4 linked regions of the Rhinolophus ferrumequinum genome follow. The protein of the gene in region 4 interacts with the protein of the main gene of each other region in a biochemical or structural test. Links are inferred from orthologs where the notes say so. Each region holds a gene or a part of one and is shown on either strand. Other genes may lie near its edges. The genes, in order: MITF, TLE1, NLK and LEF1.

Region 1 (8,188 bases), on a different chromosome or scaffold from region 4:
TTCTTGGGGCGGGCCATGTCTGGGCACCACCTTGGCACATGCAGGAAACGTGCGTTGGGAGGACTGTGCAGAAAGCTGGCCTGCTGACAACCTCCTTCCCTTAACAGTTTTCTGTTATTGACATTGTTCTCCCTCTGGGCTTGTCTCATCTTTTTAAAGTAACAAAATAGTTTCATTACCATTCAATCCTGTGCTTATTAAAATACACTTCAAATAAGAGAAACAGAAGTTGAATTAGATTATGTTTGAAAAGGAGGTGGGGTGGGGAAGCTTTATGCGTTTTTGTACACATAACTGAATTTACTGCTGTCAGGGAGACTGCAAAATAGGTTCATTTTATATTTGAAAAATATTAAGTCTCTAAAGTAGGGATGGTTGGGTAGCTAGAATTTGGACACAAAACCTAGATCTGCCAATCAAGTCCAGCCTTGAACTCGGACTGAATGATAAATAGGTGAAGTAATTGGAAGTAATTGGAATAAATAGGTGAAGTAATTGGAACTCTGTCTGATCCATTCTGGTGGCAGGTGGTTGTGGCTACATCCAGTTCCCAGCATTTCGACAACATCCCATGTCCTGTCAGGTTAAGGGGGTAATTTGTGATGTTTAGTGACACAGTGGTGGCCCTGGTGGGGGCCTTCACTAGCCCAGGTCCATGGCATAGATTTTGGAGTGGTTCCTAGTTGCACAGTGTCTGTGCCAGATTCTGCTGCTGTTCCTGAGGCTTTGTGAGCTACTCAATACACTTTCAATGAATTCCTTTCTGCTTAAATCAACTATGGTCAGTTTCTGTTGCCTCTTTCCTCAAACACACCACATGCAATCCTGCGTCCATAACTTCTCATGTCCATTTTCTCTTTTTGAATCACATGCCTTTTTATCTAATTTTATCATAAAGTATACCCCATTTTAAAAAACATTATGACAGTTTATTTTCTCACTTTTTTAAGTTTAATTATTTTATCATGGAAATTTTCAAATATACACAAAAATAGAGAGAGAAGTAAACTTCCATGACACATTACCCAGTTTCAACATTTTACTCTAACAACAGATAAGAGCTTTAAAAAAACAAGATGAGCAGAATATCAGTATCATACTTAATAAAATAAACAATAATTCTTTAATATCATCCAATTCCAGTTCATGTTCACACACTCCCAGTTTTCTCCAAAATGAATTTTGACAATTGGTTTGTTCAAATTAAGCTCTAGACAAAGTCTACATAATGTATTTGAGTGATATCCCTTTTTCCCAGTTCATTTTCTTAATAGTGATATAATTTACATGTCTAATATGTCTCTTAAATCTTTAAAAATCTATAACAGTTCCTCTTTCCCCTTTATTTCATGCTACTTATTTTTTGAAGAATTTCTCAATGTCTTGTAGAATTTCTCAATTTCTGGGTTTGTCTGATTGCATCCTTGTGGTATTATTAACATGTTCTTCTCTCATTTTTTCCCTGTAAATTGGTGGTTAGATCTAGCAGCTTGATTAGATTCAATTTTTATGTTTTATACCCTAGATTTTTTCCTTGTTTTTTTTTTTTTCTTTTTTAGATCTAGGTTAGTCACATCTCCTCTGAGAATTCTTCACTTCATCTCCATCCCTGCCCTCAGGTGTTGCTGCTTTCTCAGATACTTGTTGCACCTACCTGTCTATCACTCTATTCATTCATTAAATCATTTTCATTCCTATTTCTGAAAGGGCTGGGACTACGCCCTGAGTACAGGGCCCATACATGGCTCATCCCTGCTATTTCCCCATATCTAGCACGTAATGTGGCTGGCACCGACTAGATGTTTCATAAATAGTTGTTGAGCTAAATGGATAAGACAGTACTAATCCTACACAAATGATCTGCTTCTTAGCACTTAATGTGTGGTTTCTCATTGTGGTACAAGCTTTGACTTAACTCCTGCACTGTGAGTCTCTTGAGAGCAGGAAGAAAGTAAAATTCATTCATGTATTTGGGCAACCTAACTCAATGCCATATCCATAACTAGTGCATGTTCTATACATATTAGAATGGAAACCCTTGCTCTCTATTCTTGCTGGATTTCTATGAGCTCAAATAAGAGGTACATATGACAAGCATTTGCAAAAAGTAAAGTATTAGAAAAATATAGGTCAGATTATTAGTGACAGTAATTACAATCTCTAGCCATTACTTTTGTACTTTCAATAGGCACAGTCCTTGTTTCAAATATATGGGGCTGTGAACTTTAAATCACCTTTTTAAAGAAGAGGTAACTACTCCTACTGTTTACTTCATTAACGAAGAGAAATTACAAGGGACAACTCGTTATTATGTGGATTAGTGTTATGGCAGTCCACAGAAAATGTTCCACCTAAAGGAATGAAAAGTCTTTAGGATGATTACTCAATGCTCTTGTGGTTGCAAGTGACAAAAGCATAAACCAAAATATTAATAGTTGCAGCAAAAAGAAAAAAAATTTGGTTTATAAATTTGGGAAATCTAAGGATATCTGCTTCTCTGATTGTTGATCTGATCTCATTCTCTCACTTTTTTTTTTTTATCAGCTTCCTAGGATGCCATAAGTAATTAGCTCTAAGTTTTCTTCCCTCCAGCCCCATGCTTCCCAAATCAGACGGTCTTCTCCAGTTGCCCTAGCAGAAAAGTTCAAAGGAGGACTTCTAGTCATGTTAGGATGCTGTCTGTCTCAAAAGAAATCACTGTGGCTAAGAAAACGGGGCCCACTGATTGGTCAGGATTAGGTCATATACCTACTTCCATTGGGTAGCAGATGGCACTGCAATCAATATCCTGGCCATATGTAATGGAAGAGAAGTTTTTCTGAACCAAGAGTAGAGTGAGACCAGAAGAAAAGGTGTAGGGAGAAAAAATAGCAGGTATCTGTGCGTACTTCAGAGCAACCTCAGCTCAGAGCTCTGCATCTTAGGGATCTCTCTGGAAGGTGCCCTTGGTTGGAGGTAAGTTCAGGGATCTTAGCTTTTTTGACAGTTTTTTCCCTTTAAGTTTGGTCCCTTCGGTCTAGCGGGTCACTGATATAATGAATGACCTACTAGATTGTTTCACTATGGTTCTAAAGAGGTTATAAACTGCGTTTCTAAGATGAAGGCCTTCAAAGGATGAACAGACCAAAATTATAAATAGAATCTTATTTACATTTATATTTTCTGGGGAGAAGGTCCATAGCTTTTCCTTTGATTAAAAAGCTTCTGGTGAACCAAAAGATTAAGAAGACTCCAGTGTTTCTCAACAGGTGCCATTGATTTCTGGACAAGAAAGTTTGTTACTTTACAAAATGTATAGCATCTCTGGTCCACACCCTTTAAATTTCCTGTAATATCCCCAACTCATTATGAAAATCAACCACGTTTTAAGAACCAAAAGCTGAGAATCAAGATGAGAGTAGAAGTCTAGGTCGAAAGTTCTCTTTGTGTTTTACCTTTCTCTTATTTCTGGCAGAGAATAACACTTCTTTAAACTTTTAACATCTAATTTCTAGCTTTCCATCTATCAAGGGATCTGGGATCCCACATTCATGAGCACAAAAAGCCCACTTTCCTCAGGACTGTCCAGATATTTTGCCATATTTTAATGGAATAGTGAAGGACCTAAAGGTAGTATTTTGGGGAGTAAATTTTATTGTGGGATTTTGGCAGTTGTGTACCTCCTGCACATTTCCCCAAATCTCTTTGTGGAGATCCTTAACTCTAAAATCAACCCATCCTACTTAAGATCTTTTCTATGTGAAATTACAATGTTTCATATTGAGGCAAAATGGCCAGCTCCTGGCAGACGCCTACCCAGTAGCCTCCTTAGTTTTCTCCTAGGATGATCACTTCGTTCATGAAGTCTGAAGGACAAACTCACAGATGAAATGTTAGTCTGAAAGGAGTATCTTCAAGATCTAATAAATAAAAGGATGACCACTGAGCAGCAATGTTTATAGATCACAAATCACTTTCTCTTGCATTTGACCATGCAACATCTTCGAAAACAAGCTCGTCAATCACTTCTTTTATAGATGAAGAAATTGAGGCTTCTAAGAATCAAGTGACATGCCCCAAATTGCACAGCACTTTAGAGAAGGACTCAGGATTTCAACTCTGGATCTTAACACTTTCAACGCCACCCTCTAACTCACTACCGCCTCCCTGATGCCTCAAGACACGTTTAAAAGAAGGAGTCCATCCTACTGGAACTAATCAGAGGGTGGACTGACAGCAAAAACAAGCGCTTACAGAGCCCGGCGCTTACAGAGTGCCGGGAAGCTCAGGCTGGGGGCTGACACTTGTACAGTTTTTTGCTCCACAGCTTCACCCCTGAAATGTTAGGACAATCTCGTTTGAACTCCCAGCCAACTGAGAAATTAAAAACAGACGGTGACTACGTTGTTTTGTTACTTGGTGCCTTTTTAAATTAACGGAGCCTTTCAAGAGCTGCTTTAGATTAGAAGTGGCTAATTGGATAAAGGGAAAGAGACATTCAGCTGGATGAATGGTATTGTAAAGCTCAGACTGAATTATAGAAAAGGAACGCCCAAGAACACTTTCCACAATAATATTTCAATTACTAAGTGTTCCTCCACTCTGTTCCAATCAGAGGACACGATGATGTGTCGCAGCAGTGCTGGGAAGCAAGCGGGCTGATAGGAAGTCCTTTTATTTTAAGGCAGGCATAAAGGCTAAAACTTTCTAAAGCCAAAACTATCCACTTTTTTTTTTTTTTAAATAATAAGGACTCGGCGTCTCCTCTCAAACGTCTGAGCTGGGAGGAGGGGTGACGGTAGGAGAGAGAGGCTGAGTCCGTTCTTATTACTATTAAATAGCCAAGTCTGTACCCTTGAGGCAAGTGGGGAGATAGAAGGGAGAGGAGCTGCTGACATTGACAATGAATCCAAACAGGAGTTGCACTAGCGGTGTCCACCACGCTGCCTCTGTCCCCGCCTGGCCTTCTGGGAGTTGTAGTTTTCGCGGGAAGGGCTCCCCCAGCGAGCCGGGAATGCCCCGTCCGGGCCGAACTACAGATCCCAGGCAGCGCCCGGCCGCCGGCCCCTCCCGCCCGGTGCGAGTGTAAACTCCCCGCGCCGGGCGGGCGGCCGCGCGCGGGCCAGCGGGCTGAGCTGGGCACTGTGTGGGGGCGCACGCTCGCAGGACCCAGGCCCCGCCACCTTCTGTCCGCTCGCGGGCTCAGTTCTCCCTTTCGAGCAGTGGAAGGACGGGAAGCGGGAGCCATGCAGTCAGAATCGGGGATCGTGCCGGATTTCGAAGTCGGGGAGGAGTTTCACGAAGAGCCCAAAACCTATTACGAACTCAAAAGTCAACCCCTGAAGAGCAGGTGAGTGGTGACAGCTGGAGGAAGGCGCGGCTGGAGGCTGGGGGTGCCCCGCGCCTCCCGCCCTGGGGCGAGAAGAGCCAATCGCCCGGGCTCTGGGACAAGGACCTCGTGCCCTTGCCCCGGGGCAGAGGGCGAACTGCCCCCCGCAGTTGGGGTCTGCGCCCGTCAGGCCGGTGCACCTCTGGGGGCCTCTGCCCAAGCGCACTTCGGGGGCTCAGCGGGCAGTCCGGGTGGCCGGCTCAGGCGTGGGGACCCTCGGCTGGGGATGCCAGCTGCTGAGACCGGGTGGGGGCTGGGGAGCGACCCGGCGTGGAGGTGGGGGAGGAGGCGCGGGGCCCGGCGGATGGCCGGCTGCGAAGGGGGAAAAGAGTTTCTAGTGAATCCTTCTACTGAAGATCCCAGCGGGCTGATCCGAGAGGGAGAGCTTGGGGTAGAGCGAGGCGCGACGTTGGAGGGAAGCAATTAGCTCGTTTGTTGTCGCCTCTTAGGAATCTGGCCCCTCTGGGAAAACCCGCCCCTGGCCGCCTCCAGGTGAGGTTTCGCTGAGCTCTGCCTCTCACCTTCCTGACGGCGGCCAGGGAGTGGGGCGGGGCCGGGGGCCGTGGGTGGGCGTGTCTCCGCGTCCAGGTTCAACTCAGTGGGCAGTAGAGTCCCATTCAAATCCAAGCGTATGCTGGAGGGGAGAAAGCTTTGGGACTGGAAGGCATTGGCAGTGTCCCTTCCACGGCAGCGATTTAATTAGCAAGGGACGTAAACTTTTTAGGAGAGGAGTGAAGACACCCGCTGGTCTGGCGCCCTGCCACCTCCGCTGCCCACTCCCTGTTCTACCTCCATTACCACTTCTCTGGCGGAATGGGTTGGGTGTCTTCCTTTCTCGGTCCTCGGGCCACTCCGAACATTTCCAGTGTTTACTAAGAGGGAGATGGCCATTTCAAGCTGTGAGAGTAGAGAGGGTTTATTTCCATCCCTCTCGGTTGTGAGATAAGGCTATTTAACTGGAAGGTTCAGAAGTGGTTCTGCACCCACCTCAAACCTCTCTGCCTGCCCCTCACTGTGGGTAGGGCTTGGGTTAATGGGCCCGGCGGACAGAGGGGATGAAGGGCCAGAAATCAGGGTGAGTGGAGAAGGGGAACCAAATCAGGAGGGCGGGGGTGTAATCTTTGCTTCTGGGGTGAGGAGGCTGGTACTTGGCTCTAGTAGAAAGCAGAGCTCTGTCTTTTAGGGCTGTGTCCTTTGGGGCTGTGTCAAAACTCCGAGCCCAAGTTGAGGAAGAAAATCTGAACAGCACACTCACTGACTGACCCGTTGCTGAAGCAGCCTCTGCAGATGCTAAGGGAGATTGGAAGGAAACCTCCTCTGCAGTTAGACGAATAAAACCCGCCTTTAGTTGGTGGTTTCTCTTCATAATGGCTGTTTTGTGTGTGAGCATAGATTGTGTGTGTTGGGGGTTGAGGGTTTTGAGTAATATTGTGCAAAGGGTATTGTTGGTTATGCTCACTGGGGCTTTATCTGCACTCAGCTGAAGGGACCAGTGTTTTACTGAACAACCTCTGCTTTTGCTTCTATAAGCAAATGCTTACATGGCCAGAATGAGGGAGTGTGTGTGTGTGTGTGTGTGTGTGTGTGTGTGGTCCTGAAAGGAATGAATTCACTGGACTGTTGGGGACATTTTTGATGGTAGCTGATACATAACATTAAATGAGTTTTGAAAGTGAGGAAAATACCATCTGGAAGAACCCTCATGAGTGCCATGAAACTCATGTTGAAGGATTTGGGCCTGTTCTTTTTCAGAGTTGGCAAAAAATTACTTGCAAGGGTGAACGTCCTCTGTAGCTAGCTGGCACGTGTAAGGAAAAGTGTGGTACCTGGGAAGAAATGGCTTCACACACGCTGAAGCTAGAAACAGGTGTGGGACAAAACCAGGATGAAGAGGAAGGCTAAATTGAAAAGGTTGGAAAACTGGAGCAGACACATGCTCTTTGAAATAAAGCAGTTAAACAAAATCTGGGAATAAATATGTGGGGTTGACAGAATTTCTCCATAGTGTTTTCCATAGTTGCCTAATGTATTGTCATCGACATGTGTTGTGTGTCTTTAAAAGGGCTACACATTGTTCAGAACCTTCTATGGCTTTTTGTCTTGAGTCTTTGATGGGGCACCTCCCTTCTTATACATCTTTGTTGGAAAAAGTTGAAATTGGAAGTTTAAGACGCTGTAGCTGTTTCGTCTATCGGTTGTATTTTCAGGATTGTCTCTTGGGGTTGGAAATATGTCGAATCTGCCCACTTCTCACCAACTCACTCCTCTGCGACCGCTTTGGTCCAGGCCACCATCACCCTCGCCTGGGTCATTGCAGTTGTCTCTTAACTGGTCTCCTGTCTTCTACCCTTACGCGCTTTAGTGGGTTTTCAACATACAGCCACAAGGTTCCTGTTAAAACCGGTTCTCAACCTGGGGCTGATTTTGCCTCCCAGGGTTCATTTGGCAATGTCTGGAGACATTTTTGGTTGTCACAACAGAAGGGGCTCGCTACTGGCCTCTGAGAAGTAGAGGCCTGAGATACTGTTAAACATCCTACAGTGCGCAGGATGGCCCCTACAAGGAAGAATTATCTGGCCGCAAATTGTCACCACCGAGGTTGAGAAACCTTGTGTTAAAACCTATCGCGTCACGTCATTCTCTACTCAAAAACCTGCAGTGGCTCCTAGTTTCAGTAAAACTTGAAATCCTTGAAATGGCAGAAGGCAACCAAGGTCCCTGTCAGCTCTGAGTGGATCTCTTGCTGCCACCCTCCTGGCTCGCCTGCTGCAGCCCACTGGTCTGCTTGCTGTTCCTGGAACGCTCCAGAGCCTCCCCCCT
Region 2 (7,759 bases), on a different chromosome or scaffold from region 4:
ATTCACACCCCAGCATCTGTGTTTTTTCTCAAGCAAGACAAAAATAAAAACTGTCGTTACAGCTATTTCTTAGCTCTAATCAGCTAAGACTTCATAGGAACGAGAAACTAACATTTCTGGAAAGTCCACTATGGATGTGGTGCTTTACAAATAGTTTTTATTTACAAATCTTTTGAAGTAGGTATCGTTAGATGAAGAGACTAAAGCTGAGAGGGATACAAATGTGACTCCAATCCCTTGTTCTACCCAAATCTACCCAGAAATGACGCCAAAGCAGGTTAGCTTTCCCTGACACACCCACCCCCCTCGTGATCACCAATGATGGGCACAGCTTAAAAGCATCTAGCGTTCCATAATGGACTTTGCCTCAGCCCAATTCTCTACCATAGCAAACAGCGATTTCAACACTGGCTTTGCCTCCCTGAACCGACACTCCAGGGCTGGGGCATCGACTGAACCAAGGTTTTAGCTCAGCCTGTTTGTTGCAAAACAAATAAATGAAGTGCAAATACTGACAGTTCTCATTTAACTCCTAAACACACGAAAATAGACTCCCTGGAACAGCAGCAAACCGGCAGAAGGGAAACAATGGGAGGAGGAGGAGACAAGAGAAGAGGCGGCCCGGGAAGAGCCAGGAAAGGGGGTAACGTGAATGACAGGTTTTAACTGCGACTCCACACGCCACCGCCTGGACACAAATGCTAAGTACAGCCGCCGCCGCCGCCACCCAGGGGCTGGGCGACGTGGGGCACGGGACTGCCCGGGCAACCAGTCGCCCCCCGCGGGCCGACACGCACCTGTGATACTGCGCCTGCAGGAACTGGAATTCCTCTTTAATGCGGTCCAGAGACTCCGGAATAGTGAATTTGAAGGGCTGGCCTGCAGCCTGGTGCGGCGTCTGGGGGACGACCAGCGAGGGGGACCGTGGGACGGAGATGCGGGCGGGTGGATAAAGCAGTTAGAGGACAGAGAGGTGGGTGGAACACAAACAAAAAATAAAGTTAGAAATGGCGGATAACGGAGTCCCGAACGCGAGTTTGCGCTTCACTTTGGGGAGAGGGAAAGTGGACACTCCGCCGACCCCCGGCTTCTAGAGGCTCTAAGCCCCCTCCAGCCTTTCCCGGGTCACCAGACTGGAGGAAAAGGGGCTCCCCGGCGGCCAGGGTGGACCAGGCCAGACTGTCGTCATCGCCGCGCCCTCCCCCACGGGGGCGATAAAGACCCCGGGGACTAGAAAAGAAAAACAAATCCCTAACGCTCCCCGTTCCCAGAGTCGCCAAGGCCAACTTAAGCGCGCCGGAACGGGGGCCGCATTGACATGCAAATAGGCGAGACCAGAAACAAAGCGGGGGGGCGCCCTCCCCTCCCCGGGGGAGGAGGAGGATGTGGTTGCGGGAGCGAAACCCCGGCCTCTCCCGGTGCCCCCGTCACCCTGTCTAGACGTCAAGCAGGAGGTGACCCAGAAGAAACGGGGTGGGGGGAATTGGGAGTTTCAGCCCACTACCCACCTCAAGAGAGCAGGGCCCGGGACCTCCCAATCTTGCAGACCCGGAGACGAGGGGGTCCGTCAGAATGTAGCAGCCACCCGCCTCCCCACAGCACGGAGAGTGCCTCCCGCCCCCCGCCCCCCGCTCCCCCCACCACCACCCCCGTCTCCCCGGCCAGCCGCGCCTCACCGGGTGCCGGCTCTGCGGGAACATCGCTCTGGCTGCCGCCGCGGCTCTGTTCCCCGGCAACTCAATTCTCCGCTCAATTTCCAACTTTAATCCCGCCGAGAAAAATTAAGCCAGTAAGCCCGGCAGAAACGCGACGCGCAGGGGGCCCGCTGGCCACGCACGCAGGCGCGCTCGGCGGGGCGCACGGGCCACTCCGCGCCCGGCTGCTCCTGCTCCCGCCAGTGTGGGCTCCCGCGTTCAGGGCCACATCGTGGGGCACCCCGGGCCCAGCTGCTCGAAGAACCTCCGCGACACCGCGCTGTTCTCCAACCCGCAGGCCTTAGCCGCCTGGGCGAGGAGGTGGGGGAACGGTGACTCCGGCGCGCTCCTGTAGGCGATCAGTGTGCGCGGCAACCGTCCGGGCAAACAAATCCAGACGGGCTGTCTTCCTTTGCTCTTCTCCCGGTCTGCCTCCTCTCCGGGTTTTCCCCGCGGCGCCGGCAGCGGGCGAGGTGCAGGTGGCTGCCGGCTAACCCCACACAAACCAACCTAGTGACGTTTCGGAGCCCACCTTCGCGGGTCCAGGCAGCACCTTTGCCGGGCACTCGCGGGCCCCTAGAAAGCGGCGGGGAGCGAGGTCCCAGCCGCGGTGTAGGCTCCGCGCCCGGCGCCCCGCAGACTCAACCCTGGCTGAGAAGCGCGGAATGACAGCGAGGCTGGGAAAGTGCGGAGGGCGCGCCGGGAGGCTGCCCCGCACACCCCGTACGACCGGCACTCGGTGTTCTCCGCGGTTGCACAAACCCTCCAGGCCCGACGGGGCTACTCCACGAAGGGCAGTCCCGCGGTCGCCCACAGCTCCTTGAGGCCAGGGCGCATCCGGGAGCCGCGCCCGGTGAGCACTCGCCCCACACAACCCGTCCGGCCGCTTCGGACCCTTCCTGGGTCCTCTTTCTTTCCTTCCCTTCGTATGCCTCTACGTAAAAGGCGCTCCAGCCCGCTGCAAAGTTCTCTCACGACCCGGGGTACGACATCCACGAGATGGTGGCAAGAAGAACAGGAGTGCGCGTCGCCGCTCGGCCTCCCTTCCCGGCCGGCAAACTCCGCGGGAGAGTCTGGAGTACTCGGGGCAGCCGCAGCCCACCGGGATTAAGTCGCCGCGGGCCGGCGAAGGTCCGGGTTGGTGGCGCGGGTCCCGCCCGGCCGTGAAAAGGTGGGGGTGGTGCAGTCGGCTGCCTCGGGGACGCGGGGCACAGAGAACCCGCCGACGCTGCTGCGGCTCCTGCAGTCGCCGTTCCTACCACTGCCGCCGCCGCCCGCGCCTCTCGCGCCGGTTACATTAACACGCGGTTTCACACTCCGGAGCTAACCAGCGCGGGCCCCGCCCAGCCCTGGGCGGGCGGGGAACGAGAGCACCCAGCCGGCGGGCGACGTGGGCCCGGACGGCTGGGAGGGGGAGCCGGAGTCCAGCGTCAGCCAATCGCATGCGCGATGCCCAACGTGGGGTGCTGACGCAACCCTCCCCGCAGCCTATGGCGGCGCAGCACTGGACGGGCCGCCTCCCTCCTATTCCCCCCCCTCCCACTCCACTTGCTTCCATCTCTGCTGTTTCCACCGGCTCCCCTCCGGTCCCTCCCACCCCTCCTCAGCCAGCCGCGTCCTCCCGGGCTCGGTGAGGAACTGTTCCTGGAGGAGCCGCGGGACGCTGAAGCCAGCCAATGGGAAGCTGCGAGACGCGGAGATTGGCACTGTGGATGGGAAGGTCGGTGGGAAGGAGAGCGGCGGGGCCCGGCTGTCAATCAAAGTAACGTGGGGCCTGGGAGGGAGCGCGCGGGAACGCGAGAGCGAGAGGGACCTGCAAGTGTGCAGCCACGGAAACTGGGGGCTCGAGTTTGCAAAATTCCTGCCACTGTTCACTTTTTCACTGTTCCCTTAAATGAAAATTCTGAGATTTCAGTGAAAGTAACTCAGCGACTAACCGCGTAGTTTCTTATGGGAGAGGGGGCTTTTTGGTAGTTGGAGCCAAATGCATGTTTTGGTGCTATCCCCTTGTTTGATGCTACTCTTTTCAAAGTGAGGTCACATTCAAAAATTTCTCTGGTTTGTTTTTCTTTGGGCTGCCTTTACGCGGGTGCACGGGGAGTGGACTGTGCACTTGATGGAAAATAAGTGGGCAACGCATTTAGCTGGCGTATGTATACCAGCCGCATAAGACGAGGCTTTTAATGCCCACGCCCCCTTTGCACCCAAGGTGATAGGATTTGGTTTTTATTGGAGGATTTGAAACCACTTTGCGAAAAGGTCGGCCTGCTCTCGTTTAGCGGGAAGTATACCCGAGGTGCTGCCAGTGTAAGGCACGCGCGTCCCAGTCGCAGATGGGATGCTTTGCCCCGGGGCTCGAAATCTAGGGTCCTTGTCTTAAAAGTTCCGACTTCTCCGTGTTGGGGAGTAAGGGACTGCTGAGAGTTTTAGGAGCCTCCCATTAACATGACCGCGAGTCTGTTTCCAATTCCTGGAAACAAAGGGAGACAATAGGATAAACCAGCATTGAGACCTAAAAAACATGTCCTGCCCACCCCACACCCATAGTTTGGGTGGTATCCAGGGCTGAGCCCTGTAAGGAACTAAATAAGAAGCGCTGGGTAAATAAGATGGCTAAAATTATGAGATGGATTTGGAACTTGACTTAAATAAAAGGGATTTTGAGATTTTCAATAAATGGGGCATACCGTATAAATATCTGGTTTTTGTCTGTTTCTCTAAATATACTGCGCAGCAGAAAACCTTCAATATTGCCGCATTTATACTTTTGTTTAAAGAACAGTTCAGTGGAGCTATTTCCACATGATTGGTGAGTGACTAATGCTATTTTGGACAAATGGTGGTGAATTCTTCCATGAGTAAGAGACATCTTTGACAAGCATTCATGTTACCTTGGAATGTACTTACCAAGTTTTTAGTACTAATAACCCCACGGTCCCATTATTTTACTTTCAAGAGACTTACGGAAAACAATTTAAGCAGAAATACATTTTATTTTACAGAGATCTTTTCCTTGAAATATTAAAAGAATCATTTTGGATAATACATGTCACTGTTGCAGTTGTTTTTAAATATGTATGATATGGTTTTGTCTATAACTGCATCAATCCCAAACATCAATTATAAATGAAAAATTAAAGGAGTTATTTTAGCCAGCTGTACAAGTCCATTGTAAATTCTTAATCAAGTTGGGCATTGTGGCTTTGCAGTGTTCTTACCAAATTAAGTAGAGTTAGGAAGGGGGTCATATTCATTTTGCTAAAATGGAGAATGGAAAGGAAGAAGTACCGCCCCTCTTTTCTTGGTTAAATTTGGTGATGACCAGAGCAGGCTTGCTCCACACACAGGACTTCTTAACATCATATGATCCCTGGGCAACTAAGCTTTGTCCTTTGGCAGCCAGTCTGCCTTGAAATCTTCATCTAGTGTTTGGGCTACATGTGCTAATCTGTGGTCAGTTCACCCCATAATCAGCTGCAGGACTGTGTAGAAAGTGTTTGGATGTCACAAATATGCCAGTGCGTGCTGGGACAACTGGGGCCACTGAGACTTCTCTCTCACTTACCCGTTTTGCTTTGATTTACTGGCACAGGCTGGTAATTAAATTTAAACAGAGAAAATTAAAGTGGTATATTTTGAGATAGGACGAAAATGTTGCTACTTCTTCTCTACTATCACCTTTCCATCCCCTTCAAAACATTGTCTTCAAATCTTCTCTAATATAGCTGTTTATGGCAAACATGTTTGCTGTTACTCACTATATTTCCCAGTTTGCCATGGGTAAAATTGGAAACTCTCTTTTAACTAGTGCTTCCTTACCAGTAGAGTTTGAAACACCAGGCCTCTGATTTCCTTATAATGTTATAACTGAAGAATAGAAAGGGTGATGATTTCAAAATTGGAAGGCCCTTAATTGTGTGCATAAAGATGGTGGGTTTTCAATGACTTGTTTCTAGGGCAGCGCATCCTCCTTGAGAGAGGGAGAAGGCTGGGTCTCTTTTCAAGGTCATATTTTCTCTGTGATTGTCATGCTGTAATAATTATACTACAAAACTCATCAAACTGCATTACAAATTATGGTGTTTAAACAATCAAGTAGCTTTAATCTTATGTTTTAAATAAATAATATATGTGTAGATTGCCTACAGCCTGTTTAAAAGAAAATGGTCCTACTCATAACATCTATAATTTTGGTCTTCTATTTAAAGTCTATTAAACATAATCTTCTTTAACATATTCATATGTTATTTTTACATGAAATAGTATTAAGTATTCCACTTCTGTAGGAAATCGTCTCTGAAAAAAAGTTCCTTTTTTATCCTCTGCAAAAGAAACAAAAAGATTGTTAGATTGTTTGTTTTATCACTGATGCATATATGGGTATATTTTCATCCATTTGTTGATGATTATCAAATTTGCAGCTCACCAATAGCATAAGCCAACTACAAAAACTAGATGTTACATATAGTATAAGTACTAGATACAGTAGGAAAATCTGCTGGTCATAGAAATTATGCATCTTCTTTTAAATCTATTACTTTTTTATTTGAAATAATATGTCAATTTTTAAAAGATCAGTTTTGTAATTTTCTCTTCCTTTTAACTGTGAATTATTGGGTATACATTTCCTCATTAGACTTATTTTTTTAAATTGGGAGTTTCTTAAACCTAAGACTGTAGAGTCCAGAAGAAATTTTCCTAACATTGCATTATAACTCCCCCCCACACACACCCTTTTACCAAAGAAAAGGACAGAGTGGGCATGGGGGATGGAGGGGAGAAAGCAGAGAAGAAGAAAAAAATCAGTAGCAGATCCATGCAGCAGTAAAACCTCAAATAAAATCACATCCAAAGAATCTCTTGTGGTTTCACACAATATGGTAAAATTAGAGATTGCAGGAAACCAACTAAATTAAACTGGGAGCATTTGAAGAGAAACGAGCAGACTTTATGAAAATGACACATTGACTGACCAGTATGCTTTTTTATCAACATTTTTTTTGTTGTTGTTAAGACGCAGATCAAAGGGACCTGCATATGTTTTCATTTTGTTCTAACTAGAAAATTACATCCAGATGTTTAATAGGCATTTGGTTGGTTTTTCAGCATTGATTAGATATGTTGGTTCTGTTTGCTTACAAGTGTAGCCGGATCATTAGCTAATGCAAAGAAATGTTTGCTGTGAGTTGCTAATTAGGGCTTTTGGAAACCCTCCATGTTCAAGAACAATTTGTACAGTGGCCAGAAGAACTTGTGGGACTTGGGGAAGTTGTTTTCCCTTTTCTGTGAGGGTGGGGAGAAGCAGACAACCCCGATCTCTAATCTCTCTTAGCCTACAGGGATTGCGAAGCTATCCCTGAGGATTGGAGTGCAAATAAATTAGGAAGAGACCACACAGACACTCCCAAACACAGCGATAAATGTGCTTTCTGGAACTGCCACCATGCTGTCTTTGAGGATGGGGGAGCGAACATCTAAAACACTGAACATTAACATGTAGAAGCTGCTTGGTGCTAATGTTATCAAATACACAGCCTTTTTAAGTATACTTTAGAGACAGATGGGAAAGCCCTTTATGACAAACGAGTGTACTTGAATTCATTACTGTAGTAGTTATAATTAAAAATGTCTCCTTTGCAATTTTAGTACTTTTACAAGGTACAAGAGACCAAGCTTGGGAAGGGGAAGGCTGGGGCTCATGAAAGGAGTGAGGGGAACGGAATTTTGGAGCCAAGGATGAGCCTAGGAGGAAATGCAGTGTTTACTTTCACAGCCCACCTACTTGTTTACCTTGTTAAAGCCCCAAAACTTGTAGGAGATTACCCATTCACAAGGCATTCAAATAAACTGAGGATTTGAGGCACCAGGCTGATAAGCATCTTATCTGGCCAATCATGTTTTTAAAAACAGCTAGCCTGCAGAGTAACACCACCTCTGCAGGGGTCTAACTTTTGTTTATTTAAGTCTGTATTTCTAGAGAGGTATTGGGCCCTATAAGCCATCCTGGAAGTGTGGCTACAAATACCAGCATAGCATGTTCTTCTGCGTATTGATGCCCCTTCTAG
Region 3 (7,436 bases), on a different chromosome or scaffold from region 4:
TCCTGCACATTCTATTCCTGCTTATGCATTCTGATGTCCTTTTTGCTTTTTTTAGGCTCTAAGTGCTATCCTGCTGACTAACTTCCGACTTCTTGTTCATCATGTTTAGCTCCTGAAAATGGAACAGAATGGAAAGGGCCGGATACTGTGCTGTCTGGTGATGTGTTTCAGGGAAATTGGGTGGCTGTCAGGCCAGCCCCACGTGGATGGAATGCTGGGGACATGAACAGTGCCCAAAGTGTATTTCTCATCTGACACTGCAGGACACGCTGCCTTGGATTGTAATACTAATAATAACCACCCCACTTACTATCTCTGATGAGCCAGGCAGGCCCTGATGAGCTCTGTACTTTCCACAGCTGTCTATTTGAATCATTACCACCACTGGAGAAGTTAGGGATCCTCTCTATTTTATGGACAAGGAAATTCAGACTAAGACAAGTTAAGCAACTTGCCCAAGATCACAGAGCTAGGAAGGGGCAGAGCAGAGATTCACACCCATGATCTAGATCTATGCTGTCTAATATGGCAGCCACTAGCCCCATGAAGCTAATGAGCACATGAAATATGACTAGCATGACCGAGGAAATTGATGTTTTAATTCAACTGAGATGTACTGTAGACGCAAAAGATATATCAGATTTCGGATTTCGAAGGCCTAGTATCAAAATATATATACAGGGCCAGCCCGGTGCTCAGGTGGTTGGAGCACCATGCTCCTAACGCCGAGGTCGCAGTTTCGATTCCCACATGAGCCAGTGAGCAGCGTTCTCTACAGTGAAGATTGTGAACAGTGGCACTCCCTGGAGCTGGGCTGCTGTGTGCTGCCACGGGCTACTGTGTGCTGTCAGGAGCAGCCGGTGGCCAGTGTGAGTGGCCGGCAGCCAGCATGAGCTGCCATGAGCTGTGAGCAGCCGACTGACTACCAGCGACTGACTGCCTCAGCCAGGGGGGAGCGCAAGGCTCATAACACCAGAATGGGCCAGGGAGCTGTGTCCTACACAACTAGACTGAGAAACAACATCTTGAACTGGAGTGGGGTGGGGGTAGGTGGAAGAAGGGAGAAAAAAGAATATATATACAACTTTTACATTAATTACATGTTAAAAACGAAAATATTTTGGATATATTGGGTTAAATAAAATATATTAAAAATAATTCTGTTTCTTTTAATTTTTTAATGAGTACTTGAACATTTAAAATTTCATAGTGCCTCTCATTATATTTCTGTCGGACAGGACTGATCTAAACTATGAACATTAAATGGTCACTAGACCAGTGATTTCTCAATATCTTTTGATAATTTTGGAGGGTCATGAATCCCAACTTATGTATTTAAAGATTATATACATGTACACTACTCTGTATATTATGTACATTATAAAACATTCACAAAATGGACATTTTAAAAAGATGAAATAAAAAATAAGCAGCATTTATTATACTAATTTCCTCCTGGAGCCTATTCCTAGTTCACTTTGCACCACCTGGAGTGTACACACACCAGTTTGGAAATTCTTGTACCACGCTTCGAGTCCCTGAAGGGCAGAGACTTTAATTCAAGTATCCCCCTCCTCCACTTTTGAACCTAGCACCATGCCTAGATACAGTTCATGTTCAATAAATGTTTGTGGCAGAAATAAATAGCTCTTAAGAGCAAACATTTTCTGGTCGATTGCATGTATTTATTTCACACGTCTTGAGTACTTTCTAGGAGCCAGATACTATACTAGGTGCCGAAAGGTAAAAGTTTAAGAAGACTCAGCCCCTTCCCTCTGGCCAGTGCTTTCTCAAACTTTGGCACATGTAAAAATCACCTGGATGGCTTGATAAACAGATTCCTGCCCCCACTGCCAAGACATTCTGATTCAGTAGACCTGAGACTTTGCATTTCTAAGATGCTTCTAGGAAACTATACTTTGGAGGAGACTGATATGCATCGGGAAATTGGAAAGGCATCCCAAATACTATGTGAGCGTGGGACTAGGGAGATAGAGTGAAGATATACTAACTTTTACCATTTGCCAAGAACTTTAAAATATATCACCTAATTTAACATCTCAACTTGACGCACATATTATCATCTTCATTCTCAGCTGAGGCAACTGAGATTCAGGTTAGTTAAATTACCTAAGTCAGAACTAGTAAACAGCCTAGCTTAGATTGGTACCCACTTCTCCTGCACTCAATAACTCATGCAAATATTGTTGCTTCTTCATCTTTTAGACACTGCCTTAGGACACAGGCATACAACATTGAGTGGGACAGGCAAGCTTTCTGTCCTGGTCAAATTCAGTAAACAATTAAAATATAGAGTTCTCAGTGCTATGAGGGAGGCAGTGCCATGGAGCTTTATAACAGAGACACATACTCTGCAACACTGTTGGGGAAAGCTTTCCAGGACAAAAAAGTGAAACTTACGCTCATATGTGAAGACCTGAATGAAGAAAGTGGGAACCAGATAGTGCTGGGCCATTTACACTTACTGACTTTCATCAAGGGTAGGGACATGTTAGACTTGTAGTTTTAAAAGATTGCTATGCTCTCAATGGAGGACGGATTAGAGGAGAGTTAGCCTGTAGGCAGCAAGATGCCTTAAAGGTGCTAGTGGTGAAAATTTGGGTAATACTGTGGTGACTGGGGTGGGAGGAGGGGCGTGTAGAAGTGTTTAAAAGTATTTAAAATTTGATAGTTGATTAGAAGGGGAGGAGTGAGCAGGCAAAAGAAGAATCAAAGATGATCTCCAGGGTTCTGGGTGCACACTTTTATTAAAATAAGGTTCTGTAAGCTTATTATTTCATATTTTAAAAAGAAAATTCAGATAAGTGAGGTTATGTGAAAGTGAAAGAAAGATGTTATTTTAGTAAGATTCAATGACTAGAAATTATTGACTTGGAAAGTATAGGAGAAAATTACGACATTTGTTGTTAAGTTTATTATTTTTGTTGTTTTAATTTGTATTTGTATCGATAGCCTTACTGTCCGTTGAGGGTGGAGTTGTGAATGCTGGAGATAATGCTTCTTTGTGCCAAGATCAGGATTAGCCATGGAGGACTAGCCATAGGCTATGAACTGTCAATCTACTGAGTTTCTCCTGTGACTGTCGTGTTGAGTAACCTTGGACCTTGAGTTTCTGTAGCTCGACATCCCTCTTTGCTCCCCCCTGTTTCTCCACATCTTACGCCTTTAAAAGGGATACTACGGTAGAGGGTTCCCATCAATGGACTAGCGCAGATTTAGACTCCGCCTTCTTCGCCTTGGTCCCGCCCCTTTCTTTAGACCACACCCCTTTGACTTAGGCCCGCCCCCTGAAGAGGTCGTCGCTGATATGACAGCGAATTCTCCACAATCCTGACCTATAGGAGATGTGAAAGGTGGGACTGAGGTCAATCTTTTCTTCCATTTGTCAAATCAAGTGTCTATCTGGCCCTAGTCCCAGCCCATTTCATTTTCAAGCCAAGGATTGGTTGCTCTGTTCGTGGTCCCCAGCTCATTATTGGTTCTTTCATTCCACCCTCTCTTCCAGCTCTTGCAGGCGGGATCAGCACGCAGCTTCCTGCGCCTGCCAAAAAAATAAAAGAAGAAAAAAGAAAAGAGGAGAGAGGCGAAAGAAAATGTCACGGAGATCTTTGGTTTTTAATTCGCTTTTAGCCTTGTCGGTCAGGCCAAACTCTGCCTTTTGATTGGTCTTTCTATCTGCCCATCCTGGATCGGGGGCGGGATTTCCCCAGGAGACCTACACCTTGTTGCCACTGGCCGAACAGTGCGCCTGTCTGAAGCTCCCGGCCCTGGATTGGAGGCGGACGCGGACAGGTGGGCGTGGATTGGCTAGGGCAGCCGGTCAGTGTGAGGCGGGGGCGGGGCCTTGGCGGCTGGTTGCGCGTGTCCGCCGCTGGCTCCGCTCTATCCGGCTTTGCTAGGGGAGGTGAGTCCGGCCGCGGCGGTACCGGCGGCTGAGGAGGCGGCGGCTGAGGAGAAAGCGGCCGCAGCGACTGAGGAGAAAGCGGCCGCGGGGACGGAAGCCGGGTGGGGGGGAGGGGGGGAGACGGAGCAGCCTTGAGCCCTGCGGGGGCCGTCGTGCGGGGGGACCCACCCGCTCTCCCCCCCAACCCTTCAAGCAGAAGCAGCCGGCGGCGGCGGGGGTAGGAGTCAGCCCGCTTCCGACTGCACCCCGCCCGCCTCCCGGGGGCTGCTATTCTTTGGCCCCGGGACCCCAACCTCATCCCGGGGCGGTTCCCTCTGTCGGAGCGTCCGAGTGCTGCCCACCTCTCTTTCATTCCTCTGCACCTCCTTACCTTCACTTTGCCCCGGTTCTCTTTCTCCTCTCTGCCCTGCCCTGCCGCCTCCTCTGCTCACTCTGTCCCTTCTGCCTCCTTCCCTGGCTCTTTTCTGTTCAGGAAAGTTTAGTACCCCCAGTGCAATCAGGTCAACCTGACTAGGAGTAGGGGGAGATGTAGGGAGGCCTGAGAGTTCGAGGGGGGGGGAGCTGATTTCCCTGGAAATTTCCCCTCATCTCTTTAATTTGGGGTGGTTGGAATTTTTTTACATTGTATTTTTGAGGAGGTGGTAGTGTTTAAAAAAGGATGTGGGAATGGAAGGGGTAGATGAGTCAACCCTCTTACAAGATTCCAAGGGTGGTGTGTTACCTGATCCTTTTCGTGTGTGGAGTTCAGGGGGTCCGGAGGTTTGGCCTTTATTCCCACATTCGAAATTGGAACCGCCCCCAAATTAAGGATGGAGTTTTAGTACCCACTTGTGGCAGGAAACCTGGGGGGAAGGGGTCCCTTTTTCCTTTTTCTTTTTTCTTTTTCTTTTTCGTTTTCTTTTCTTTTTTTGGTAACCCACACCCTTCCACACACGCTCACCCCCAATCTCAACACCAAGATCCTCTTCCTTACTTGGATTGACTGATGAAGACGTAAGGCCAGTTACGCTCCATGTTTTTGGAGGTGGAGTGAGTGGTTTTTCTTCATTTCTAAATGGCCAAATGACAGCTTGACCCAGTTTGCTTTCCAATCAAAGAGCATTTTTTTGAATGTCTCTTTGTGGCGCAAGAGCCAACGCAAAAATGATGGCGGCTTACAATGGCGGCACATCTGCGGCAGCAGCAGGTCACCACCACCACCATCACCACCACCTTCCACACCTCCCTCCTCCTCACCTTCACCACCACCACCACCCGCAACACCATCTTCATCCGGGGTCGGCTGCTGCTGTACACCCTGTACAGCAGCATACTTCTTCGGCAGCTGCGGCAGCCGCAGCAGCGGCCGCAGCTGCAGCCATGTTAAACCCTGGGCAACAACAGCCATATTTCCCATCACCGGCACCGGGTCAGGCTCCTGGACCAGCTGCAGCAGCCCCAGCTCAGGTACAGGCTGCCGCAGCTGCTACAGTTAAGGCGCATCATCATCAGCACTCGCATCATCCACAACAGCAGCTGGATGTTGAGCCGGATAGACCCATTGGATATGGAGCCTTTGGTGTTGTCTGGTGAGTATCAGAAGAAAGACACAACTTCTCATGGTGTCCTCTCGTGGTGGTGATTGGGTGAGTCATCTCATGGTTTTCTCCACGTTGACCAAAGTGGAGCAAGCTTCTCCCCTTAACTGTAGGAAGACACGCTCACGTGCGCGGGACAGTGCATTGGCTATGAAGCCTTCTGCTTTGAGTCATGGCAAATTTTGGTGGAGAACCCTCTGATGAGTCACATACATAAGTTTGCTGTCTACCAAACTTTTTGTTTAGAACCTAAGCAAGCCACTAAATGTAGGATCAGTAGTTGAATGTGTGAAACGCTTATTCCTGCAAAGACCTTGGTCATCTCTCCTGTATGATTTAGTTTGAATCAGTCGCCCAGTGGCAGCAAATGTCCCAGCTGACCCAGGCTCAGTTCCTTTCATTCATCTTGCCATGGGGATGTGCTTTGCACAACTACTTGGCTATCCTTTCTGTCTTTTCAGTCCTTAATTTGTGATCTTTATCCTCAGAAAGAGGATTGGGGTCATAGTTGAACCAGTTAAGTCATTTCTTGAGTGGTTTATTTTAAATTATAAAGTTACAATTGGGAAGTATGTAGCTTTAGCCTTTTGATAAGACTGCATTAAATATAGCATCACACATGAGTACCACAAATGAGGTCAGTAGACTGTAGCTATGCAGTGGCCCACATTTGGTGTAATGTTTTAGTGTCATTTAGGGCCTCTTTAGTTCCTGTTATCCCTTGGTTGCTGTAGGAGGAAGTATATTAATACTTTTTAAACATGAAATTCCTCTATCTTTACTAATGCTATGATATTTTTAAAAGTTTAAGAGCTTCTTAAAGGCAACATGTTGTCTCTTTACCCTTCGTAGGAAGATTAGTAGTGTATAATAAAATGTATTTATCATTGTAGGATTCTATTCCTATCAAAACTAGAGTGAACTGAGTTTTTCCCCCAAGGATTAAGTATTCTGGTGTGGCTAGATGAATTGATGTTTTGAGTGTGTTCAAAAATAGATTCTTGTTAATGTCTAGAAAAGCCCCCATCACCACAGGAAAAAGAAGGAACTCTTTGGAACTAGCCTGGTAAATGTTTCCTTTCGTCACTGTTTTTCAGGCTATAAGCGATGAGTATCATTTTTGCATTACATTTGACCATCTTTATATGCAGTTCAGATTTTACAGTGTAGGCTACTAAGTGATCTGATTCTTTTTTAAACTAGTCGAGTCCAGTGTTTGCCCAGCTAGCTCTTTCAGGAGGTTGCTGCTTTAGTGCTCCCTTCCCCAAGGAGAGGGGGATTGTTGGTGGGAAAGAGTGTAGCCGGTAATGGTGCCTCTTTAGTCACTCTGCTCAGGGACCTGCCTGTTCTTGCCTTCCTCTCCTTCCTTCCATAGCCTTTCCTCAGGGATTGCACTGTGAACTTCCATCTCTTGCCTGACCCTTGAGGATTTCAAAGCTTGGGGGAGGGCGATGAGGGTGGTGTGAGAGTGGACAGGAAAAATTGTGTTCCTTGCTTTAAAAGTTCTCACTGATTTACTGAGAATGTGCGTGGATTTTCTTCGACCTGGATGCTCTTTCATTTTAGTACTTTGCGTACAATGCTAAGAACTAGAGATACTGAAGGGGAAACAGGTTGCAGCATTCTTGCTTATGAAGGTGTTACCTATATTTCTATCCAATGGTGATGTGATTTGTAGAAGTCTTAACTTCACGTGGGTGCTAAGGGAAAAGCTTTTATTTTTAAAGGGGAGGGAGGTGAGGAACTGGAGTGCTGAAATGTCTCCCCCAGTGAACGTTCTGGTAGTGGGTATTCTGAATTCCTGATACATGAAAATCCGAATGTGTTTGATGTGAATTCACTCTAGATTCACTGATTGCCGCCTTCTACCATCTGTGGAGTTCGTTCCATGTACTTGAAGTTCCTCCTTCTGAGCACTGTCTTCTATGGCAAGA
Region 4 (8,301 bases):
GCGAAGGAGAGCCGTGAAGATGTGTGGCAGGGCTCTTCGGGCCCAGACCGCTCCCCTGAACGCCCCGCGCCCCCTCATTCCTGTCCACGATCTCACAGTTGAACTCCTCTCCCTACGGGCGGCCTCGGGACGTGAGCCCTTGCCTCCCGGTTGGTAGAGGGTGGACTGGCCGAATCCACATATAGTGGTGGTGGGCTGGGGCCCACCTCCACAGGCCTTGGGGAGGACCCAGCCCCTGGACTGGCGTGCCTCGGGCTCCGACGCAGAGAGACGCGGACGCGAGTTCGGCCCACACCAGCACGAGCGCGGGAGAAGCCACGAGAGGGCTGAAGCGGCGGGCTGGGGCCGCGGGCTCTGTAGGCAGGCCCCCGCCAGGCAGCGCTGGCCCCGCGGAAGCCCCGTGTCCGCAGGCGGCCGGATTTGGGAACGACATTTTTACGGTCCCACGAGTTCTGTTACCCCGGCGGATGGGGGGTTGAGTTTGTTTGTCTTAGGAGGAGGCAAGAAGAGGCGGAAGAACCCCTGGGACACAAACTGCCATTTCCCTCGCCCTCCCCCTTCTCCCTTAACCCGAAGTCCGTTAAACTGAAGATGCGCACAGCTTTAGGCTCGGATGAAGCGGGGGTGGGAAATCGAGGATGCTGGAGTTCCGTCTCTGGAATCATATTCTTCGTTTATCTAGTCCTTGACCATCGCTTCTCTCTCTTCGAGCATCCTCTTCCGTAGGCCCCCGCCACCCTCTTCCTTTGGGATCCCACCAAAGTTGTAGCTGGGAGCGAGTCCAGGCCACACAAAGGGGAAGACCCGGAGCTTAGGCGGGGGGTTAGGACCGAGGGGGCGGAGAGGGCTCTGAAGGGCACCGCGCTTTTCTCTCCTCCCTGTAATTAAAGACTCACTTGAGTGTCTGTAACTGACTTGACTTGGCAGCAGAATCGCTGGGGGGGAGGGGTCTATGGTGTGGGTGGGGGTCATTCTCCCAGTTCCCTTGCCCACACCCGCGGGGGGCTGGGCCCGGTTTGCCCTAGGCTACCGGGCGCGTCTCCGCTCCCCCTTCCTCTGTTCCGGCGCAGGGTGGGCGCCTCGCCCCCACGCGCAGCCCTGCCGACGGCGCCTGGCGCAGCGTAGAAGGAAGTGTTGATATAAAACAAGTCACTGTTCGCTCCCCAAATTAACCCCAACCAACCAAAGCCACCAAGGGGAAAAACCAACAGCAATCCAGCCAGCCCCTAGCAATTGTTTCACGGTCGGAATTAAATCACATCAAAACGCCCCCTGAAACCCACATCCTGAAGGAGTGAACCTGCAACAGCCAACCTCCCGTCGTTCGCTCGAGTTCACACGAACAACCCGCCTCTACATCCGAAGGAAGGGGGCGGCGGGCGGCGGAGTTTCTCCCGCGCTGCACCCACCACATCCCGGACGGTGCACCTCGAGAGGCGGCTGCATATGTTAATAGCAGCCCCCACACAAATTAGAAAAGACCTCCCGGCGACAGAAAATGCCTTTGCCTGGAACTTCACCGAACCTATAGGGAGGAAGGAACGTCTTCCCAGGGTTACTTCGCCCCTCTGGTGCCCCCCCACCCCACCTCGAGAAACAGACTTCACGTGGAAATGTCAACCTCCTTCCCAGACAAAGCTTTAAAAAACTTGGGTGAATGTTTTCTAGTAAAGCCTTTAATTGCAGCCCATCAGAACACTTGCAACAATGCTAAGGACACTCAGCAAAACACCTCGCAGTACATGGGGAGGGAAAACAGCCACGCAAACAGAGCATGGCATTGGGTGCTTTCGTTGCAAACAATTTTTCCAAAGGAGAGGGTTACCGCCAAATACTAAATAAAGGCAGCCACTTACCCTCGGCCCTTCTAGTAAACAGCTCCCACTAGTTATTGCTCCAAAAATTCCCATCTTCTCGAGCGCCTCATCTCCAGGACACCTGGAGTTGAGCTCCAAATGACTCAGGGAGTCCAGATAATTAACACGAAGGAGAAGATGGGATTCGAGTGAGTTGCAACACTTAAACGGGGATGTAGGAGTCATCATTTAATCTCTCTTTGGCTTTCAGAAAATACCCTCTGGCCACGCTGTGTCCCCCCTCCCCCTCCTCGAGTTTGATGAAAAGGAACTTCTACTCTGGCTGCTTTGGTGAAACTGCATTTTCCAGTTCTTTTTCTGTCGGTCAAATTGGCACCTTGTGGAACGACTTTTGACTACTTTGTTTTCCAATATTTCATTTAGAACAGAGGGTATACATGTGTGACATAGTTACATGTTCGCGTCTCTAGAACATTACACTCACATTGGTGCATAACTTCAATGGAAGTTGCTGCATATGGCCACCAATCAAAAAATAACACTGGGTTTCTTTCCAACCTTTTCAGTATCGCCTTATAGACACACTGCAGCAGAATATTCTTTTTGTTTTTCTTCTCTAAGGATTGCATTGTTAGTTATTTAAAGTGGGTTTGATGTTTTACTCTTCCTGGCTCCCATCACCAGCCCCCAACCCCACCTCCTGTGAATTTACCTGTGACTACTGGCCATGTTCTATGTGATCGACTGAAAATGGTATAGTTTTTTAAATTGCTTCTTAAAACAATTCCCATCCCTAAGAAAAAGTTGTCAGGTGAAGTTTCAGGTGGTCCATTAGAGCATTGTTAACGTCTTTTCTTATACAATATCCAACAGCAAGCAATCACCCCCTCCCACACACACACACACCCCTTAGGAAAAGAAGAGGGATCTTTGCCTGACTGTTCCTACCGTATATAATAGAGCTAAAGTCTGATTCTGTAGTGTTTTCCTTATTTTCAATTTAAGGGATATGGAGACCTTTATTCCTGCCCCTTGTTTACTGTTCTGAGGTTTTACAAATGGCTACTTCATTGGGTATAATAATTTCGCCTGGATTTTTAACTGAGGGGGTTTGAGATCCAAGGAACAAAGTGTAATGTGTTTTCAACTTCAGCTTCGTTTATACTGTAACTTTCACAAAGCATCTCCTTAAAAGTCCTGTCCTTGTATAAAATGCATCGGTGGAGAGGTGGAGACGGTGGAGGCTGGGGAATTTTTGAGGTTGGATTCGGATTTGCATTTTCAAGGGTCCCTTTGAGCCCACGTCGGAGGTGCCAGAGGCTACCCTCTCTCTACTGGTTTCGCTCTTTTGGGTCCTTTTACCTTCTCTTCCTCCTCTTTGGGTTATTTTTTCATTCTCTATGAGATCCCCACGCATTGTAGCGTGTATCTCCGAAAATCCAGGAGAGACCTAGCATAACTCTCTCCTTACATCCCATGGCGAGGACATAATGGAATAGATCTTGTTTAAAAAGCGACAATTAAGATCTTCAGTTTTTTCTTCCTCGTCTTATTATTCTCGGTAAGCCTGGAGATTTTATTTTTGCTAGCATGTGCTCTCTTGTCCTTTGACATTGTATTTAGGAAAGCCACAACTCTATTCCTTGTCCTTCCTGCTTCCGTTCTCTTGTTAGTTGAGCAATGTCTGTTATATTTTCCCCTTTTCCTTCTCTGTCTCCGATTCCCGCCTCATCCTCTGTCAGAGCATCTATCAATGTGGTGTCCATCACAGCTGCGGCGGCTTCGCTTTCATCTTCCCCTTGCCTGAGTGAGGGAGGGGAGAGAGGGAGGCGGAAAGGAGGTGGGGGAAGAGACTGGCAGAGGAAGGGGGCGGAGGGGGTGCAAGAAGAGGTACTTAGATGAAGTTAAACCATTCGGGCAGTTTCTTGTCAATTTCACGCGGGCAAAGCGTGCCTCTCCGTGGGTTACAAGGAGCGCCCGGTCCTTCCTTGTCAAATTGTGGGATCCTTCCTTCCAGGAGCGCGCTCGCGCGCGCGCACGTACACACACACACACACACACACACACACACTCACACACACACCCCAAAACTAGGACTCGTCCTACAGGCTCTGGGAAAGAAAAAAAAGTCCTCAATCACCACCTCCAACTCGCGGTCCCCCTCCTCCCCCCACCCCAGCGGGCAGCCAAGGAGAGCTGGAGGCGGGGGAGGGGAGGGGGAGGAGAAGCGACGCAAGTGGGTAGCTTTTCAGCGCCGGCGAGGCGCGGGAGGAGGAGAAGCGGTGGGGAGGCGCAGCCGCTCACCTGCGGGGTAGGGCGCGGAGGAGGGATCGGGGCTGCGCGCTCTCGGGCCGAGGAGCCGTCGGGACGCGCCCGGAGCCCCGCACGCAGCCAAGCTCCGGGCGTCCCCCTCCCCTCGGCCGGGCGAACCCGAGGGGTGCAGCTCTTTGCTTTGACAGACCAGCCCGGCGGAGGCTTGGAGAGCGTCGAGAGAGCGAGCGACCGAGCCAGGCAGAAATTCGAGCCGGGAACAAAGAGGGGTCGGGCTGTGTGTGTGTGTGTGTCTCGGCTCCAGCTCCTGGCAGAAGCATTTAGGTCCGAAGCCCCTGCTGTGACACCCCGAGACCCCACGGTGCCCTCCACTGCTGACTCCTAGCGCTCGCCGGCAAAAACTTTATTCTTGGCAAACTTCTCTTTCTTTTCCCCTCCTCCTCCGCCCCCACCTTGTCTTCCTCCTCCTCCTCTAGCAGATTAAACGCGTCTGGAGAAGGAAAACCGAAGCGAAAGGGAAGGAAATAAGAAGCTCTATAACGGACATATTCCAACACGGGTCGCTCTTTATTTTTTCTCCCCTCCAGGAAGTGGACATTTTGTTCCCTTTTGATTCTCCTGAACCTTCTCTGCTGGGGTAAAAGGAGACTTTTTGCCCAGCTCTCCTCTATTCTCGGAAAACTTCCAACTCGGCATCCGGGGGAGCTAGGGTGGAGAGGTTTACGTAGAGACGCGCCGACGGACTCTCCTCTGCACTTTGGAGAGTCGTGCCTCCTCCAGAACAGGCGTCCTCTGCGCGCAGACCCCGGAGGAGCTGGGGGCGTGGGGTGGCCACCGGAGCAGCCAACCCTAGAGCACCCCACATTGTGCCGCGCAGACGCCCGCAGAGGCGCCTGCTGCGGCGGCCCTCGCAGCCGGGTGCCCATCAGCCTCGAAGGCGGGCGCAGGCGAAGGTCTCCGCGGAGCGGGAAGGCGCGGGCGGCCGCCGGGGCTCAGGCGCCGCCGCAGCTGCTCGGGCTGCGGGCCGCCGGCCCTGAGCTAGCCGGCCCAACTTCCGCCCACTCTCCTCCCTTACGCATCCTTCCAATTCTCCTTTCCTCACCCCCCCTTTCGTTGACCCGCTCTCTTTCCTGCTGTCGCCTTGGGTGCTCCCCCAGCAGAGCGGAGATTACAGAGTGGTCGGGATGCCCCAACTCTCCGGGGCAGGCGGCGGCGGCGGGGGGGACCCGGAACTCTGCGCCACGGACGAGATGATCCCCTTCAAGGACGAGGGCGATCCCCAGAAGGAGAAGATTTTCGCTGAGATCAGTCATCCCGAAGAGGAAGGGGACTTAGCCGACATCAAGTCCTCCCTGGTTAACGAGTCCGAAATCATCCCGGCCAGCAATGGACACGAGGTGAGCGGGCCGTTGCCCGAGCACCAAGAGGCGTGGCGGGTCCCGGGAAAGAGCAGAGAACGAGGGAGGGAGGGACGGCGCCGGGCAGCCCCGGCGATGATCCCCCGGAGGTCCCTGGTTTGCTGGGGGGCGGATGAGCCCCTGGTCCGCAGTCTTCCTTTGTGTGTCTGTGTGTGTGCGCGCGTGTCGGGTGGGAGGTGGAGGGGTGTGCAGGGAAACTTATTCCAAGTGGATCCGTTTGGGGTTCGGTGGCTAAACCGTTGGTTTGCGGGCAGGACAAGCTGACCTTAACATGTTTGGCCTTCGTAGTTTTCAGTGGCGTTGAGGGTGCAATGCATTAAAGCAGGGATGTCTAAACTGAGAAGTTCTTCCGTAGGACGGAAAACAAAGTGCACCCGCTATCTCTCGGTAGCTGTCTGCAAAAGTGCGTTAAACCGCCAAAGGCTTAGGTAGAGACGAGCAGAGCCACAGGCGGAGAGGAAGGGGAGGCGGGCGTGGGCCGGGGACAGGCGGGGCCGGTCCAACTGCCGCTGAGCGGGGCTCGCGCGGAGCCGGCCGGCGGAGGGGCCTTGCGCCTGGGCGGGTGGGGGGCGTGCGAGGCTCGGTCCCTTCGGCCGCTGTAGTCCCAGCGCGAGAGCCGTGGGCGCGCGGAGCCGATCCAACCCAGGGGGCCCTCGCAAGTACCGCCCGCAACACTAATTTTCTCCTACACAAGTCACTTTTTTTTTTAAGCGCTTGTATTTGAGGTTAGATTGGCCCCGGATCAGGACTTAAATCTATGCAGAAGACAGGCGAGTCAGTGGAGATGCGGCGGAAGCCAGGGCACCCACTCAGGGGAGGGTGGAAAGAGCTTTATCAGATCTCCTGGCCCGCGGCAGGCGATAGCGCTGGTAACCCGAGTAGAGTAAATAGAGACACGTGGGTGCCAGCGAGAGAAAGCCGCGAGCGGGACCGCGCGGAAGGGCTATTTCAGGCCGCGCGAGAGCTTCAGAAGGGGTTGGGGGTGGGCGGATGGACCCTGATACCCGACACTCCACTGGCCACTCTTGTTCAACAGCTGGGAAACGCTTTGGAGGAAATCCGGTAGAAAAGTTCTGACACTCAAATGATTTCACCAACGCTTTTTCCCTCCAAAGAAACTTCGAGGGTATACCCTTTGTCCTTAAATGGAATCCTTCTACCCCCAAAAAGAAACCCTGTGGTTTTGGGGGCGGGGGCATTTGGGGTTTTAAACAAGGCGTTTAAGAACACCTCAGAGTTACCTTCTTTATCCCAATGGCAGGGGTGAGTACGCATTTTGGAAGGCTTGGGGGCCTGGGTTCTAAGGAAAACATATAAGGGTGTTCTTTATTCTCTGATTCTTTCATCCCAACATGCCAATTTGAGGGGGACGTGGGGGGGGGTCTAGGGTGCACCCGACCCCACTTAAAAGGTTTGTGACTATATGTGTATTGGGGGGAGGAGGGCATTGGGGGACACGTGTCCAAAGAACCAAATAACATCCAAACATCTCAGAGGCCAAACTCTCCTATTTGTAGAGAAGCCTCTTTCTATCCATTTTGCTGTCCTTTCTATTCAATAACTTAATTTGCCACCATTTCACATTTTCTGTGTGTTTCTGCTCTGGAAAGAAGAGCACCGCATTTGAAGCCCAGAATCCAGATATTAGGGCTCTGTTAATCTTTGCCATGGTGGTAAGTGGGCATGGGGCAGCCCCAAGGAAGATAGTGAAGGGGTAACACCACTGATTAGCACGTGGTTGAGCCTGGGTGGATGGTGGTTACCAGAACTGATATTAGCTGGGCTACCTTTTAGATGTCTAAACCCGACTCTCAAATTTTCCTTTCTTTAACCACAGAGTAGTTCACTTTTCTCTTGTAAGCTTGCACTCAGCCAGCCATGGTAGGTTGTAAGGAGTGGAGCTCCTGCTGGGACTGGCTTGGGACAGTGGCTTCTGTGAGTAGTTGGCTTGTTTTTATTTACAATGCCATTTTCAGTTGAACAATGATATTTCAGCCTGCTTTTAATTAGATCTGATTCAAATAAACAGATTGAAGAAGCTATCAAAACGATCAACTCCATTAACTCAAACTGCTATCGTATTAGGCATCCCAGTAGCCTTGATGTGTTTTAGCAAACAGCAGTCAGTACAGCATGTGGGTCTTTCCCAAATTTACTATATTATTATTATTTTCTTATTATTATTTATACTTTTTCTAGTCCTGAGTAGATAATAATGAGTCAAAAATACTGGGGGGTGCCAAAAAAAAAAGGTATACGCATGACTTGTGTTCATCTTTTGTTATCGGTATATATTGAGTATTACAATTTTAATACAGTTTTTTCCTTTCTTAAAATGTGTATACATTTTTTGACACCCTCTGGACATGTTAAAAAGAAAAAGATTTCCCAGGACTCAACCCTAGCCTACACCTAGTAGATTAATAAAACGGGTAGACTAAGTTGCATCTAATGCTCCTGCTTTGAGTTACCAGTGGATACACACTTCTATCAGTATTTTCACAAACTCTAAGGTGATTTTCTTTCTTTTGGGGATGGGCATTCATGATGTTAGGTGGCCAGACAAGCACAAACCTCTCAGGAGTCCTACCACGACAAGGGCAGAGAACACCCTGATGACGGTAAGACTAATTCTGTTTCTTCCAACTATTGTTTAACATGTGCAATTTGTGAATATAAGTGTTTTGCTGTTTTGAGTCCAAGAAACTGGGATGAGATGTGATAAGACTGTGCCCACTATTTTAACAAGATGGAAAAGAAAACCCAGGAAACTTCATGCTTATGTCTAATATATA

The links.
Region 1: the proteins of LEF1 (region 4) and MITF form a complex in vitro, tested with the Homo sapiens proteins (2 studies listed by BioGRID). The link is inferred for Rhinolophus ferrumequinum from reciprocal best matches to the Homo sapiens genes LEF1 and MITF.
Region 2: the proteins of LEF1 (region 4) and TLE1 form a complex in vitro, tested with the Homo sapiens proteins (2 studies listed by BioGRID and IntAct, with this or other methods). The link is inferred for Rhinolophus ferrumequinum from reciprocal best matches to the Homo sapiens genes LEF1 and TLE1.
Region 3: of the proteins of LEF1 (region 4) and NLK, one has a biochemical effect on the other in vitro, tested with the Homo sapiens proteins (4 studies listed by BioGRID). The link is inferred for Rhinolophus ferrumequinum from reciprocal best matches to the Homo sapiens genes LEF1 and NLK.

The regions. Positions count from the first base shown.
Region 1 is NC_046300.1:63,431,139-63,439,326, forward strand, and holds the start of MITF (microphthalmia-associated transcription factor), read left to right. Parts: upstream 1-5,053; 5' UTR 5,054-5,225; coding exon 5,226-5,329; intron 5,330-8,188. UniProt on the Homo sapiens protein: Transcription factor that acts as a master regulator of melanocyte survival and differentiation as well as melanosome biogenesis.
Region 2 is NC_046295.1:45,522,973-45,530,731, forward strand, and holds the start of TLE1 (transducin-like enhancer protein 1), read right to left. Parts: upstream 3,050-7,759; 5' UTR 1,701-3,049; coding exon 1,677-1,700; intron 899-1,676; coding exon 798-898; intron 1-797. UniProt on the Homo sapiens protein: Transcriptional corepressor that binds to a number of transcription factors. Inhibits NF-kappa-B-regulated gene expression. Inhibits the transcriptional activation mediated by FOXA2, and by CTNNB1 and TCF family members in Wnt signaling.
Region 3 is NC_046304.1:19,217,783-19,225,218, reverse strand, and holds the start of NLK (serine/threonine-protein kinase NLK), read left to right. Parts: upstream 1-4,041; 5' UTR 4,042-5,035; coding exon 5,036-5,493; intron 5,494-7,436. UniProt on the Homo sapiens protein: Serine/threonine-protein kinase that regulates a number of transcription factors with key roles in cell fate determination. Positive effector of the non-canonical Wnt signaling pathway, acting downstream of WNT5A, MAP3K7/TAK1 and HIPK2.
Region 4 is NC_046288.1:57,709,630-57,717,930, reverse strand, and holds the start of LEF1 (lymphoid enhancer-binding factor 1), read left to right. Parts: upstream 1-5,249; 5' UTR 5,250-5,272; coding exon 5,273-5,485; intron 5,486-6,225; exon of another isoform or gene 6,226-6,760; coding exon of another isoform or gene 6,761-6,769; intron 6,770-7,369; exon of another isoform or gene 7,370-7,384; coding exon of another isoform or gene 7,385-7,441; intron 7,442-8,060; coding exon 8,061-8,127; intron 8,128-8,301. Other genes in the region: uncharacterized protein LOC117022360, read right to left, coding at 4,122-4,408. UniProt on the Homo sapiens protein: Transcription factor that binds DNA in a sequence-specific manner. Participates in the Wnt signaling pathway. Activates transcription of target genes in the presence of CTNNB1 and EP300.